Oryctolagus cuniculus: one gene and its partner. The protein of the gene in region 2 interacts with the protein of the main gene of each other region in a pairwise test. Links are inferred from orthologs where the notes say so. Each region holds a gene or a part of one and is shown on either strand. Other genes may lie near its edges.

Region 1 (7,083 bases), about 1.9 Mb from region 2:
GGAAGGGACTGGGGCCAGGCCCAACCTTCACACCCAAAATGCAGAGAGCATCCCTGAGACCAGCGAGCCTGGCCAGGCGTCCCCCCGGCCTGGCACAGGCCTGAGCATTACTGCCACAACGAGCTCCCCCGGCCGTACCCATGAGGGGCACACAGGACCCTTTCATGCCCGGAAGTGGCCCTCGAGCCACCTCAGGCCCCAGGAGCGAGAAGAGCAGGCTGCCCACACCGGCACAGTGTCCAGAGCCTCCACAGCCAGGCCAGCAGCTGCAGGGCGCCACGGGTCCCAAGGACGCTTCCTTGGGCCACACAGAGCGGAGCCAGCTAACCCAGCAGCAGACTGCGTGTGGCTGCCCGAGGGACTGCCCACTGCACGACAGTAGCCGCTGCCCCCTGTGCTCCCACATCCTCACAGCCAAGTGAGTTCCAGGGACGGGGCTCGGGGTCAACCTCACACCCCAAACAAGGAAACTGAGGCACGCAGGGTTCTGGGACGAGATCAGGTGGCGATCAGCAGAGGCGACATTCAGAGCCAAGGCTGACGTCCAAGCTGCCCCGCCAAACCACACGGTCGCTGGCGTCTGCTCTAGGAAACGCCCACCAGACGGCATGGGGTGCTGAGCTGAGGACACGGCCTCTGGTTTGGGACGGTGGAGAAGTTCCAGAGGCAGGGCTGGGGCCGCTTGCCCGACAATATGAAGATACTAATGCCCTTGAACGGGACACTTAGAGTCGATATCTGAGCCACCGTTAAAAATCCACTGTATACATCTTAAATAAAACATCTCATTGCCAGTGCTAGGTGGTGAAGGACTTGTCAACAATTTTTGACAACAGATATACACACCACATCCTACGAACACAGTAAAATTCAATCAGATGCTAATAAAAATATAAACCTCCCAGGGAAATAAAAGTGAACTTCTTGGCTTCGATTCCCGCTCTGGAAATTCCAGGCTGTGTGGCCCCAGGCAGGCTTCACAGCCTCCCTGTGCCCACCCATAAACAGGAAGTGCAGGTGCACCTCCTCCGGGACTCAATGAGCTCATGACAGAGGGGACAGAGGGGACAGAGGGTTTGGCTCGGCAGGTGTCTGCCACAACGCCTGATCCTGCCACAGACCACAGCACCCAAACAGGCACGGCTGTGTTCCAATAAAACTTTATTTATAAAAGCCCCTGGCACTTGGTAAGTGCTTCACAAAACGCCAACCGTTACAACCAAGAGAGTGCACTTACGTCGCTTTCCTTCTACAGACATATAAGACAGTGAAGCAAACACCAAGGCTGAGGCAAGAGCAGAGGCCCCACCCCACCTTGCCGGACCCCCACCCTACCCTGCCCGGCTCCTCCTCCCAGCCGCGGGGAGCGGGTTACCACCTGCCCTCTCCTACTGACTGGGTCCCTGGAATCTGCCCCTTCGCATCTCCTCCCACGGCAGCCCCACCCTGCTATCCCCCATCCCTGCACTTGTGCACTTGGCCTTGGAAAAGCACAACAAAAGAAACACTTTCTGAAGGCTCGCAGGGTAAGAGCCCGGGCCCCAAGGCCCCACCGCCGGCCAGCGCCGGGGCCCTGCTCTGAGCCTCTATGACAGCTGTGCCCGTCCCGGGCTTCCGCGGAGAGCACCGGGGGCCCCTGGGGACTTCCTCACAGGGGTCCTGCAGGAAGCTCACTGCTCCACGGCAGGGGTCGGCGAGCCTCAGGGGCAGCACGTGCAGGGTGTGCCACCCCCCACTCCGACAGCACCCCCCCTTGCCAGGTGCCATCCACAGCAGGCGTGGGAGGCCAGCAACAACAGCCACTCTCCTGTGACCCATCCCCAGTGTGCAGACAGCAGGAGCTGAGCAGAGAGGCCAAGGGACTCGCCCAGGGTCACAGAGCCAGCGCCTCCAGCCCACCCGGCCCCACACTGCTCAGTCACCCTGCCTGTGACATCAACGATGGTGACTGCCCCACTGTGAACCAGAAAGGACAAAAAAGGCCTCCGACCCGGGCATCCATCTAGACAAGGCTAAAGCTCAGCTTCTCACAGCTCAGGGACCTCACCTGTGACCGCCACGCAGGCGGCCCGGCCAGAGACACCACGGCCCCCACGCCCACAGGAAGTGGAGGCTGAGAGGCCAACCCTCCTAACCACGACAACACAGACGGAAGGGACAGGACCCAGGGAGTACGGCTTCAGAAGCCCAGCGGGCTGGGTCCCCGGAGAACTGGGGTGTGCCCAGTGACCCCCAATCTCTCCCACGGGGCGCCCACATTAGTGGGAAAGCCCAGGTGGCGGCACCTGCCCAGTGAGGGTGGAGGGTCAGGGTCCACACAGGAGCCCAGGTAGGGTGGCTCAGAGCCTGCAGAGCAGCCAGGGGCTGCTGGCCAGTTAGCCTTGGAAATGGTGTCTCCACCACGCGCCCCCAGCGCCACAACGCCCCTGCACACCCAGAGAGCAGGGCTCGAGCCCGCCACCTCCCCTGGGCAGGCCGAGGGGAGCCTCCGGCAGTGGTGGGGCCGGCGTGACCACTTCCCCAGGAAGACAGAGCCCCAGCCACGTGGGGCCGTTTCTCAGACCTCACGGTGGCCCTGTCTGGGTGGGCAAGACCTGCTTAAGGTGGCCCTGTCTGGGTGGGCAAGACCTGCTTAAGGGAACAGCGCGCAGTGTGCTGTGTTTATGTGCAAGGTTCTGAGGGTGCAGAGAGACAGCCGGCCAGCAGAGAAGACATGGAGAACGGGCCCCACGGGAGAACAGGAGTTCACACGGGGGGGGGGGTGTAGATGCGGCCTAGGGGACACAGGCACCACCTGTGGCTGAGACAGGTGCGGGCCGGGGCGGGCGGGGGAGGGGCAGGAAGCCAGCATCGAGGTGTGGGGGCAGTAGGCGCCACCGTGGGGTGAGAGGGAGGACCGTGTCACCCTCTCCCGGTGACTGTCACCGCAGCCCTGAGCCAAGCAGGTGCAAGAGCCTGCGCGACAAAGCATGGGAGTGGGAGTGCGAGGTGCACCATGGGGCTTCCCAGAGCCCTGCACCCTGCCAGGCCAGGACCCTGCCGGGACGGGGGGGCTCCCGACCACCCCTCCTTCAGCCCATCTCAGCAAACCCACAGCCCAGGGAGCAGGGCCAGCCGCACCCCACCTCCGCGGGTCCCTCTGATGCAGGGCTAGGACCCCCCGCGCTTGCTCTTCTGGTCCGGAGGCAAAGGCCTTGCCAAGGTAAGCACGCAGCGCACCCAGCTCTGCCGGACAGGGAAGCTCAGGGCCAGGGCTCCCCTTGACCTTGGGCTAGAGGAGCTGCCCAGATAAAGGTTGTTCCTGAGAGGGAACGGCGCAACCAAAGGCCAAGGACAGCGCGCCGAGAGTGCGCAGGCTGGCCCAGGGCCGAGGCCGGCCCGGCGCTCCGCGGCGCACCGGGAAGGGGGTCCTCCCAGCGCGGAAGGCCCCAGCCTGGCGAGGGGCGTCTACCTGGGTGACACAGCAGGGAGGAAGCGGTGATGGCTGGCGGGGAGGCCGCGGGCCCGAACGCGGGGCGCACGGCAAGGCGCCGCAGGGAGGTGGGCACCCGCCTTTCTTCGCGCCGCGCCGGCCTCCGCCCCGGCGCGCACGTGGGCGGAGCAGCGCGGGGAGGTGCGGGGGACCGCCCGCAGCCTCGCCCTGCCGACCCCCGCCGGCACCGCGCAGCGCTGGCCTCCGCCCTGGGGGCCACCGCGGCGGGGTCCCGGGACTCGGCGCGCCCGGCCGGCCGGCCACACCCCCGCGCCACTCCCGGGAGCCACGGGCGGGGTCCCCTGCCGCCGCGGGGCCCGGGGGGGGGGGGCAACGGGGAGCAGAGTGGAGGCTGGGCGGGGTGAGGAGGGGGCTGGGGGCGGGAAGGGAGGGGGCGTCGACGACGCGCGGGGGTGGGGGATGGGAAGGGGAGGCGGACACCGGGATGGGTGGATCAGAGGGGACGCGACGGCTGTCAGACACGAAGGGGGCGGGGGCGGCCGGGGTCGCCGCGGCCCCCTCGCCACCCCCGCTCTGCGGTCCTCTCCGGCCCGGGCGCGCCCCCCGCCCCCCGGCGCACCTGTACCCACCTGCTCGGCGCTCGGGCCCGAGCCGGGCGGCAGCAGCGGGCGTGGCGGGCGCAGTCCCGCGCCGCATCCTCCGGCCGCCCCCTCCCCGCCCCGAGCTCACGCCGCCGCCCCCTTAGGAGGGACGAGACGGAGCAGAAATGAATGAATGGATGCGGAAAACCGTGGGAAAGCAACGGAGGGGGCCGGGCTCGGCGGGACGGGGGTCGAGCGCCGCGGCCCCGGGACCGAGCTCGGCGCGGGCGCCCGGCGCGTGCCGCACGCTCGCGGCTGCAGCTCCCGCGGCCCCGGCGCCCGGCTCCAGGCAGGCCCCGCCCCACCCCCGGGGCGCCCCTCCGATTGGCCCGGCCTCCCGCCAGTCAGGGAGGGCCGCCCCGCCCCGCCCGAGGCCGGCGCCGGGAGCGGCTCTGCCTGCGAGAAGGGGGCGCGGGCGGCCCGAGCGTGCGCACTGCGCCCGCGGCCCCCAGTCCGCCCGCGTCCGCCGGCGAGCAGCCCCCGGTGATGGGGAGGGGAGGGCCTTGCAGGCTGGGGTCTGGGCTGGCCGTGTCGGGAGCTGTCCCTGCCCGCAGGGCGCCCGCGCGTGTGCCGGGGGAGCGGGGAGGCCGGCGACCGCGGTGCCGGTTCCCCCTCTGTGCCGAGGAGCAGTCTGAAGGTCAGAGGTTAAAGGTGGCGGAGGTGAGGCGGGTGGCGGAGTCCACGCCTGCGCCGGGCGTCTGCATCCCGGGGCTGGCCACGGGCCGAGAACCGCGGAGGCTGCGGGAGGAGGTGGGCCTGGCCGGGCGCGCGTGCGTGTGGCCGGGGCGGCCGGCAGGTCCCCGTGAGCACCTGCAGCGCCCCAGGGCTCCGGCCCGGCCGCGGCCCGCGCGGCTCTTGCCCTCTGGCGAGGAAGCGGGAGGGAACGGCGTGCAGGACGCAGTTTGAATGCGGGGAGGGGGCGCGTTTGAGACCTTGAGAAAGAGCGGGGCGGGGGCGGGCAGGCCCCCTGGGCCGTGGGAATCCCGAGGCTGGCGTTGACACGGGGGACGCACGGCCTGGGCGGTGGTCCAGGGCCCGGCGCGGGCTCAGGGTGCCAGCTGGGATTCGCGGTGTGTGCGGGGGCGGTGACAGTCACACCCGGGCCTCCCCGCACGCGCAGAGCTGTCCGTCAGGAACCGGGGCTGCGGGCTGAGCGCCCACGGTCCGGCCAGCAGTGTGGAGGGTGCGTGTATCCATTCATCCATTCATTCATTCCATTTAAAAGAGAGAGAGACCTCCTGTTCACTGGGTCACTCCCCAGATACCCCCAACTGCCAGGAACCCCATCCAGGTCTCCCGTGTGGGTGGCAGGGACCCAAGGACTTGGACGTCACCTGCCCCCCCCCCGCCAGGGTGCGCATGAGCAGGAAGCTGGAATCGGCACCCTGGGATGGGATGTGGGGGTCCCGTTGCCAGACCAAACGCCTGCCCCCGTGGCGTCTAAAGCGTCCACCCTGAGAGCCCGGCCCCTGTCCTCGGCTGCAGCTCGTCAGACGGGAGGGGACAGGCAGCCCCCCCCCCGCGCGCGCGCGCGCGCGCTGACCGAGACGCTGGGTAAGGATGCCCCGGCTGCCGTGGGGGATGGGCTGAGGGAGCTGGGGGAGCGGAGGGCCCACTCTGGTGAGAGGGGAAGAGGGGGACCGGGAGGCCCAGGGGGTGCAGCTGGGGGGCCTTGCTCATGGCTCGGGCTTGGGCGAGAAGGCGGCATCGGGGACGCAGCCAGGTGGCAGGGGCTGAGTTGCGACCTCCCGAGCACCGGTGTGTGTGAGAGCCCCCCCCCCCCAAGGGTTCTCAGTGCCCGCAGATGTCATTCATCAGATGAGCCCTGGTGCAGTGGGTCGGGCCCCAGGCCAGTCTCTGACGGGCGTCCTTGTCCCCGGGGGAAGCTGGACACAGACACCTGCAGCCCTGAGGGCGGCGGCTAACCTGGGAGGGGCCTGGGATGTCCAGCAGCAGCCAGCGCTGGGGCTCGTCCATCCCAGCACCTGCTGGTGACCCTGGCCTCTAGCTGACAGAGCCGAAACAGCGGCTGGCTGTTGCTTAAAGCACTCCGCCTGTGTGTTTCCATACAGGTGTATCGGTGAAGGATTGTGTTTGACTACAGTAATCCTGATCGCTATACAGCAGCTTAAATGCTTTAAATTTTTTTTCTCACCTAACCAGAAGCCCACTCGCAGGCCGCCCCTCACTTTATCCATCCTCCTCAGCCTGTGATTAACTTCTTCCTGCTGTCCTCATGGTAACAGTACAGCTGCCTCTGCCCCTCTATCCCATCACTGTTCCAGTCAAGGAGAGGAAAGGGCAAAAGACACTCCCCGGCTGAGTGAGTGTCCTCTGACTGCTACCTGGAAAGTCTCCAGCTGCCTTTGTCTCATTGGCCAGAACAGTGTCACAGGCCAGCCCTGGCTTAGGAGGAGGCAGCAAATTTAAAAGAAAAAAAAAAAAAAAGCCACTCAGAGAGTACACATTGGTGCCTGAAATAAAACGAGGTCCATTCATGCAGAAAAGAGGAAGAGGGGACCGGGGACAGACGGCGATCCATGGCCCAGGGCTCGTAGGACCTGAAGCTTCCACAGTGGAGGGACCTCCTTCAGAATAAAAAATGGCGAATACAAAATCTGCTGCAAGAGGGAACACGTACGATCACCAATGCAGGGCGCATTTGCGATGCTTCGGGCTGACAGACCTCACAAGCATTGCCAAGTCCAGGAGGAGGCAGTGTTCTCCCTGTGATTTTGCTCATTGTCGTGGTGACTGGAGACTGGACTGTTTCCAGCGGAGGTGACTGGACCAGCGCTTCCTAGACCTCGGTGCCATCCCGGCCCCGGGGAAGCACACGAGAAACGCAGATGGGGTGGCATCGGGTGAAGTGACCGCTCGGGGTGCTGCCGGCCTGTATCAGAGCGCCTGGGTTCCAGTCCCAGCTCGCCTGTCCACTCCAGCCCCTGCTAACAAGCACCCTGGGAGGCAGCAGCTGAGGGCTCAAGGACTTGGGTCCTGGACACCCAC
Region 2 (6,920 bases):
CACAGTGCTAAAGCTTTAATCACTTTAACTTCATCTAAGCTGCACAGGCACACAACTGCGAGGACAAGGAAAAGCCAATGACCCATAGCCTGCTGCAGTCACATTTTAAAATTACCAAAGAACTAACTCCAAAAATGGGAACTCAGACCCCTCATCTAAATTCTCACTTTCAGAGTCAGGTGACGATTACGCGGGGCCGGCACTGTGGCACAGTTGGGTGAAGTCGCCACCTGTGAGCCAACATCCCACTTGGGTGCCGGTTCAAGTCCCCGCGGCTCCATTTCCAATCCAGCTCCCCATTCGTGGCCTTGGAAAAGCAGCAGTAGACGGCCCACGTGCTTGGGCCTGTGCGCCTGTGCGGGAGACCTGGAAGAAGCTCCTGGCTTCAGCCTGGCTCCACCCTGGTGATTGCAGCCAACTGGAGAATCGACCAGCAGATGGAAGATCTCTCTCTCTCTCTCTCTGAGTGTGTCTGTCTCTCCCTCTATCTCTTGACCTTCAAATAAATAAACAAATCTTTTAAAAAGGATTATGCATAAAAATATGATTCCAGGTTGGACTCCCGAGAAATCTGAAACACCCACTCCTCGGCCTCTCCCCACGGTGGGCCTCACGGGCACCCTCACACCTGAGCGCGGGTGCAGCGAGGCCCAGGGCTGCGCGGCCTGCAGAGGGAGGACTGTGAGGGGCCGGGCAGGGCCTCAGGGTCCTCTGCAGCAGCTCTAGGACTCCGACCAGGCTCTATGCTGTGTGAGAGTGTCCCAGACAATTAGGACTTTTCAGGAAGATTTTTAAAATAAAGATGGGGATACCAGCTCAGTCAGAACTATTCTGTGCATACACACATTAATACTTCGGCTATCAGAATCCGTGTCATTTAAGCACAATATCCTGCAATGCTCACAACAGCAAATGATGTGGAGGTCACACAGAATGCTGCGCACTGAAATTCTTCAGCAGATGTAAGGAACCACCTAACCCAGGGAGGACACTGAAATATCAGTTATGTTGTACTAATTTTTTTTTACTAAAATGTCTTTAGACAGATGGAAGCATAAAAATAAGTAGAACAGTCAGAGTTATACAGAGAAAGAAGAAGAGGCAGAGAGAGAGAGGTTTTCTATCTGCTGGGTCACTCCCCAATTGGTTGCAACAGCCACAGCTGTGCTGACCCGAAGCCAGGAGCCAGGAGCTTCTTCCCGGTCTCCCACACGGGTGCAGGGGACAAGGACTTGGGCCATCCTCGCTGCTTTCCCAGGTGCATGAGCAGAGAGCTGGATCAGAAGTGGAGCAGCTGGGACTTGAACCAGCACCCACATGTGATACTGGCACCACAGGCAGCGGCTTTACCTGCTCAGCCACAGCGTCAGCCCCTGCTCTGCTTTTCAAATAAATAAATAAATAAACCTTTAAAAAAATGAGTCCTAAAATATTACCATATTTTTTTCTTTTTTTTTTATTTTTTATTTTTTGACAGGCAGAGTGGACAGTGAGAGAGAGAGACAGAGAGAAAGGTCTTCCTTTGCCGTTGGTTCACCCTCCAATGGCCGCCGCGGCCGGCGCACCGCGCTGATCCTGGCAGGAGCCAGGAGCCAGGTGCTTTTCCTGGTCTCCCATGGGGTGCAGGGCCCAAGCACCTGGGCCATCCTCCACTGCACTCCCTGGCCACAGCAGAGAGCTGGCCTGGAAGAGGGGCAACCGGGACAGAATCCGGCGCCCCGACCGGGACTAGAACCCGGTGTGCCGGCGCCGCTAGGCGGAAGATTAGCCTAGTGAGCCGCGGCGCCGGCCAAAATATTACCATATTTTAATATAGGAAGGGTAAACTGCTACCTGTTTTTGGCCAGCCTACAAGCTAACAAATGTTTTTACTTTTTTAAATGTAAGTTTACAACACCTCCCTAAAATCAAATAATAATATTTCATGCTATGTGAAAATTACATGAAATTCAGATGTCACTGTTATCTGTAAACCTGACTGGACACAGCCAGTTCATCAGGTACTATCTGTGGCCGTTGCCTGCTACGGTGGCACACTGGAGGAACTGCAACAGTTTGCCCACAGAGCCTGAAATATTACATTCAATCACTGACATAAAAGTCTATTCATCACAAAACAATGGAAAGATAAATCTTGCTCATGGATCAGAAGAATCAATATCATTAAAATGTCTATACTGGCTGGATGACAGTGGGTAAAGCCACCACCTGCAGTGCCAGTATCCCACATGAGCACTAGTTCAAGACCCGGCTGCTCCATTTCTGGTCCAGCTCTCTGCTATGGCCTGGGAAAGCAGCAGAGGATGGCCCAAGTCCTTGGGCCCTGCACCCATGTGGGAGACCTGGAAGAAGCTCCTGGCTTCAGCCTGGCCCAGCTCCAGCCTTCTGGACATTTGGGGAGTGAACCAGCATACGGAAGTTCTCTGTCTCTGCCTTTCAAAAAAGTTTTTACAGATCATCTATCTTGTATGGGTTTACTAGTATCCAGAATATATAAAGAACTTTTGTAATTCAGCAATAAAAATATGTAAATACTAAAAAATGGCGACAAGAGTTAAGAAAAAGCCTAGCTCCCCAACCTCCCCACTGACCTCCTCAGAGAAAGAGACAGAGCCTCTCATCCACTGGTTACCCCCAAGTGCATAAGGGCCGAAGGCAGGCAGGAGGAACTCAAAAGGAGTGAAGCTGCAGTCTCCTGCCCAGAACCCGGGCCCTTGGGCGATCGCACGGCTTCCCGGGACCTCGCCTAGCAGGAAGTGCACTCTGACACAGGAGGCAGAGCCTCCACCCAACTCATTTTTTCTTACAATAAACGTATTAACTTAGGCCACTGCAGCGGGATACAACCCTAAGTGGTAACACCAACCAGAGCTAAACTCATTACGGCAAGCAGAGATCAACAATGCTGCTGGGTCTCGCCCAGGCGCACTGCCAGCCAGAACCACGCGGGCCCAGCTGGCGTGCAGACTTCCAGCCAGGTCCTTTTCCCGCCCGTGTGCCCCTTCACGTGCATGTCAACAAAGTTCATTTCCCAGCGGGGCTTGGTCGCGCCAGGCCTCGGCTCTAACACCCCAGCGGCTTCCCTGCGAGAAGGCGGATCCCCCGATGGCCCTCCCTCGCCCTCTGACCTTCCCTCCCGCCCGGAACGCCCCGCTCCGCGGCCTCGCGCCGGGCCCTGCTCGCTCTGCAGGCCTCACCTCAGAGGCCAGCGCGGCCCCCGGCCACCCCAGGCAAACGTCAACGCCTTCCAGCCCGACAGTCGCCGTCCCTCCCTGCACTTCCGGCTGCCAGAGCGCACACCGACCTCGGCGTCCGGCTTCCCTACGTCGGCCCCACGCGAGAGCCCGGGGGAGCGGAGCTCCGTCCCGGCTGGGCCCGCGCCTGCACGGTGCCGGCCAAGCACACAGGAAAGACTTCCTGACGGCGAATAAGCCGGAGAGGAGCAGGGCAGAGCCGCGGAGCGAGTGCCGGGGAGTACCTGTTTTTACCTTTACAACGAACGGGATTCCCGAGCTTGATTCTCAAACGAGCCCGCACTGCTCCCCGGAGCCCGCTTCCCGTACTGAACGCTCAGGACAAGGCCAGCGCAGCAGACACGGAGACCGGGAGAGGGGCTGCAGGGCGGCCCGCCCGACACACGGGCGCCCCGGGGCGCGCCTGCCGTCCACACCGCCCGTCGGGAAAGCCCGCACTCCCCAGCCTGCTCGGGGACTTGCTTTCCTGTTTCTGCCTCAGAACCCCCTCCCCAGGCCCAGCAGGGTAAGGGGCTGGCAGCAGCGAAGCCCCCGGGCGCCCCTGCGGCGGGCACCCCGCGCCCCGGCCGGCGCCGCGGGAGCGCGCGTCTCGCGCATCGCACCGCGCCGTGTCCAGCACCGCGCTGGCCGCGGGGTCCCGCGCGCGGGCCAACGCGGGGTCGCAGACAGGCCTGTCGCTCAGGCCGCGCTCGGAACGCGGCGCCCACGCGAGCCCGCGGGGCCGCGGCCGCAGTCGCCGAGGCTCCCCCGCCCGCGCGGCCCCGCCGGCCCAGCAGCATGACGTCACCCGCGCCCGCACGGCCTCCCGCGCCGGGCCCGGCACCTCCCCTCCCGCCGGCCCGTGGCCGCACCGTGCTCCCGACCCTCCGCCCCGAGCGGCCGGCGCCCCCGCCGCTGCCCCCGGACTCACGGTCGGTGCGGCGGCTCCTCGGCCATCGCCGGGCCGGGAGGCGGCGGCGGGGACGGCAGCGGGGGCGGCTGCTGCGCGGGCGGCGGCGGCGGCGGCGGCTGCGCGGGCGGCGGCGGCGGCGGCTGAGACGGCTGAGGCGCCGGCGGCGCTGGCGGCGGCTGCTGCTGCTGCTGCTGGAAAGACTTGAGGGACTCGAAGGCCTTCATCAGCTTTTCCAGGGTCGCCATGGCGGCCTCTCACCCCGCAGGGCAGCCCCCAGCGGCCTCGGGCCGGCTCGCGGCGACGCGGCGCCCCTCAGCAGCGAGGCAATGAATGAGGTTCGCGGCCGGGGGCAGAAGCGGAACCAGCGCGCCCGGCCATCTTGGGCCCGTCCCGGCAGCCCCCGCGGCGCCCCGCGTCCAGCGACGCTGCGTCGGCGGAGGCAGGACCACGCCGAAGCGGCGGGATTGACAGCCCGAGGCGGCCGTCTCTGCCTATGGCCGGCCGAGGCGCCGGCCCGTACCTCCCCCACTCCGCCCTCGGCAGCTTCGCTCCTCAGAGCCTGCGCTGCAGTTAGAACCCAGCGCTACCTCAGGGCGAAGACGGCGAGGGGGCGGGGCGAGGGCGGGACGAGGGCGGGACGAGGAGCGGCTGCGGGGCGGGCCCAGAGGGGCGGGGAGAGGGCGGGGCGAAGAGTGACTGAGGGGCGGGCCCAGAGGGGCGGGGAGAGGGCGGGGCGAGGAGTGACTGCGGGGCGGGCCCAGAGGGGGCGGGGGAAAGGGCGGGGCGAGGAGTGACAGAGGGGCGGGGCAAGGGCGGGGCGAAAAGTGACTGAGGGGGCGGGGAGAGGGCGGGGCGAGGAGCGGCTCTAAGGGGCGGGGCGAAGGGTGGCTTAGGGAACGGGGAAGGGGCAGGCGAGGGGGCGGGGCGGAGAGCGGTGGGGCGGGTCCAGAGGGGGCGGGGCGAGGAGCGTCTCTAGGGGGCGGGCCGAAGGGTGGCTATAGGGGACCGGGAAGGGGCAGACGAGGGGGCGGGGCGGAGAGCGGTGGGGCGGGCCCAGAGGGGGCGGGGAAATGGGCGGGGCGAGGAGTGACTCTGAGGGGCGGGGAAATGGGCGGGGCGAAAGGTGGCTATGGGGAACGGGGAAGGAACAGGCAAGGGGGCGGGGCAAGGAGCGTCTAGGAGGGCGGAGAGCGGGCCCAGAGGGGACGAGGAGAGGAGCGGCTCTAGGGGGCGGGGCGAAGGGTGGCTTAGGGAACGGGAAGGGGCAGGCGAGAGGGCGGGGCGGAGAGCGGTGGGGCGGGTCCAGAGGGGGCGGGGCGAGGAGCGGCTCTAGGGGGCGGGGCGAAGGGTGGCTTAGGGAACGGGGAAGGGGCAGGCGAGGGGGCGGGGCGGAGAGCGGTGGGGCGGGTCCAGAGGGGGCGGGGCGAGGAACCAATCTGAGGGGCGGGCCCTGAAGGGGCGGGGAGTGGGCGGGGCGAAGGGTGGCTATAGAGGAGGGGAAGGGGCAGGCTTGGGGGCGGGGCTAGCGGGAACGAACCATGGGGGCTGGAACAGGTGCAGGGCTGGTGTCGGCGAACCGCGACCGGGAAGACCCCACGAGGGAAGAGCCCCTCCCCGACGTAGAGCTGCAGACGCCGGCAGGTCGGGGCTGAGCCTACTGGGGTCTCCCTGCGAAGGGGAGCGGCCCCAGGGGGCGCAGACGCTCAGCAAAGGCGTGGGGCGCCCCCTCATGCCCGGGGGCGTTCAGGCTGTCGCCGAGGGGTCCGGGGCACCCCGTGAGCGAGCAGAGGGAGGTGGGCGCGTACAGGGCCGCAGGTGCAGCCGGCCCAGCGCCGAGGGAGCCTGGCGGCCAGGAGGGGGCTCCTCCCCGCTCAGGCCGGTGAGCGCTGTCATCCACGCGTGTTGTGCCTTTGTGTTGTGCAGTGACGTGTGGTGCACACGTGTTGAGTTCGCTGGCCTGGGGGGGTGGGCCTTAAACCGCGGCCATGGATCCTCACTGCCCAGGCCCGGGGCCGCCCTCTGGTCTGTGTGCCCACTGCTTCCTGTGCAGACGCTAGTCACAGGGGATCGGGACCCCCTGGGGACCTCCCACCCCCCGAGGCTGCGTGCGAACAGCCGCCCAGCTCTGTTGGGCAGCTTGCCCAGTATGAGCGCCCCTCCTGGAAGTCCCCTGAAAGGGGAGGGGTTCGCCCGCCCGCTGCCTGGGACGGCGCAGCCGGTAGGACCGGGAGCCCAGGTGCCCCGGCTGCCTGCCTCTGCCCGGAACGCACTGTGGGGTCCTGCCAGGAAGCCTCGGGAAACGCACTAGCGCGTGGGCCCTGCCGGGAAGCCCCGAGCTCCCGTCAGGCGCCTGGCCTGGAAACCCAGCTCCACTCCTGGCATATTCCAAACAGAGTAATTAAAGATTAATACCGCGGGGCCGGCGCCGCGGCTCACTAGGCTAATCCTCCGCCTGCGGCCCCGAAACACCGGGTTCTAGTCCCGGTCGGGGCACCGGATTCTGTCCCAGTTGCCCCTCTTCCAGGCCAGCTCTCTGCTGTGGCCCGGGAGTGCAGTGGAGGATGGCCCAGGTGCTTGGGCCCTGCACCTCATGGGAGACCAGGAGAAGTACCTGGCTCCTGCCTTCGGATCAGCGCGGTTCGCCGGCTGGGGCGGCCATTGGAGGGCGAACCAACAGCAAAAGGAAGACCTTTCTCTCTCTCTCTCTCTCTCTCTGTCCACTCTGCCTGTCCAAAAAAAAAAAAAAAAAAAGATTAATTCCGCGGGCATCGTGT

What was found. The genes of interacting proteins can lie anywhere in the genome.
Region 1: the proteins of HTT (region 2) and JAKMIP1 interact in binary tests that used the Homo sapiens proteins (3 or more experiments, as listed by UniProt). The link is inferred for Oryctolagus cuniculus from reciprocal best matches to the Homo sapiens genes HTT and JAKMIP1.

The regions. Positions count from the first base shown.
Region 1 is NC_091433.1:3,640,735-3,647,817, reverse strand, and holds the start of JAKMIP1 (janus kinase and microtubule-interacting protein 1), read right to left. Parts: upstream 4,352-7,083; 5' UTR 4,063-4,351; intron 3,584-4,062; exon of another isoform or gene 3,452-3,583; intron 1-3,451. UniProt on the Homo sapiens protein: Associates with microtubules and may play a role in the microtubule-dependent transport of the GABA-B receptor. May play a role in JAK1 signaling and regulate microtubule cytoskeleton rearrangements.
Region 2 is NC_091433.1:1,727,211-1,734,130, reverse strand, and holds the start of HTT (huntingtin), read right to left. Parts: upstream 4,542-6,920; 5' UTR 4,392-4,541; coding exon 4,165-4,391; intron 3,602-4,164; exon of another isoform or gene 3,489-3,601; intron 1-3,488.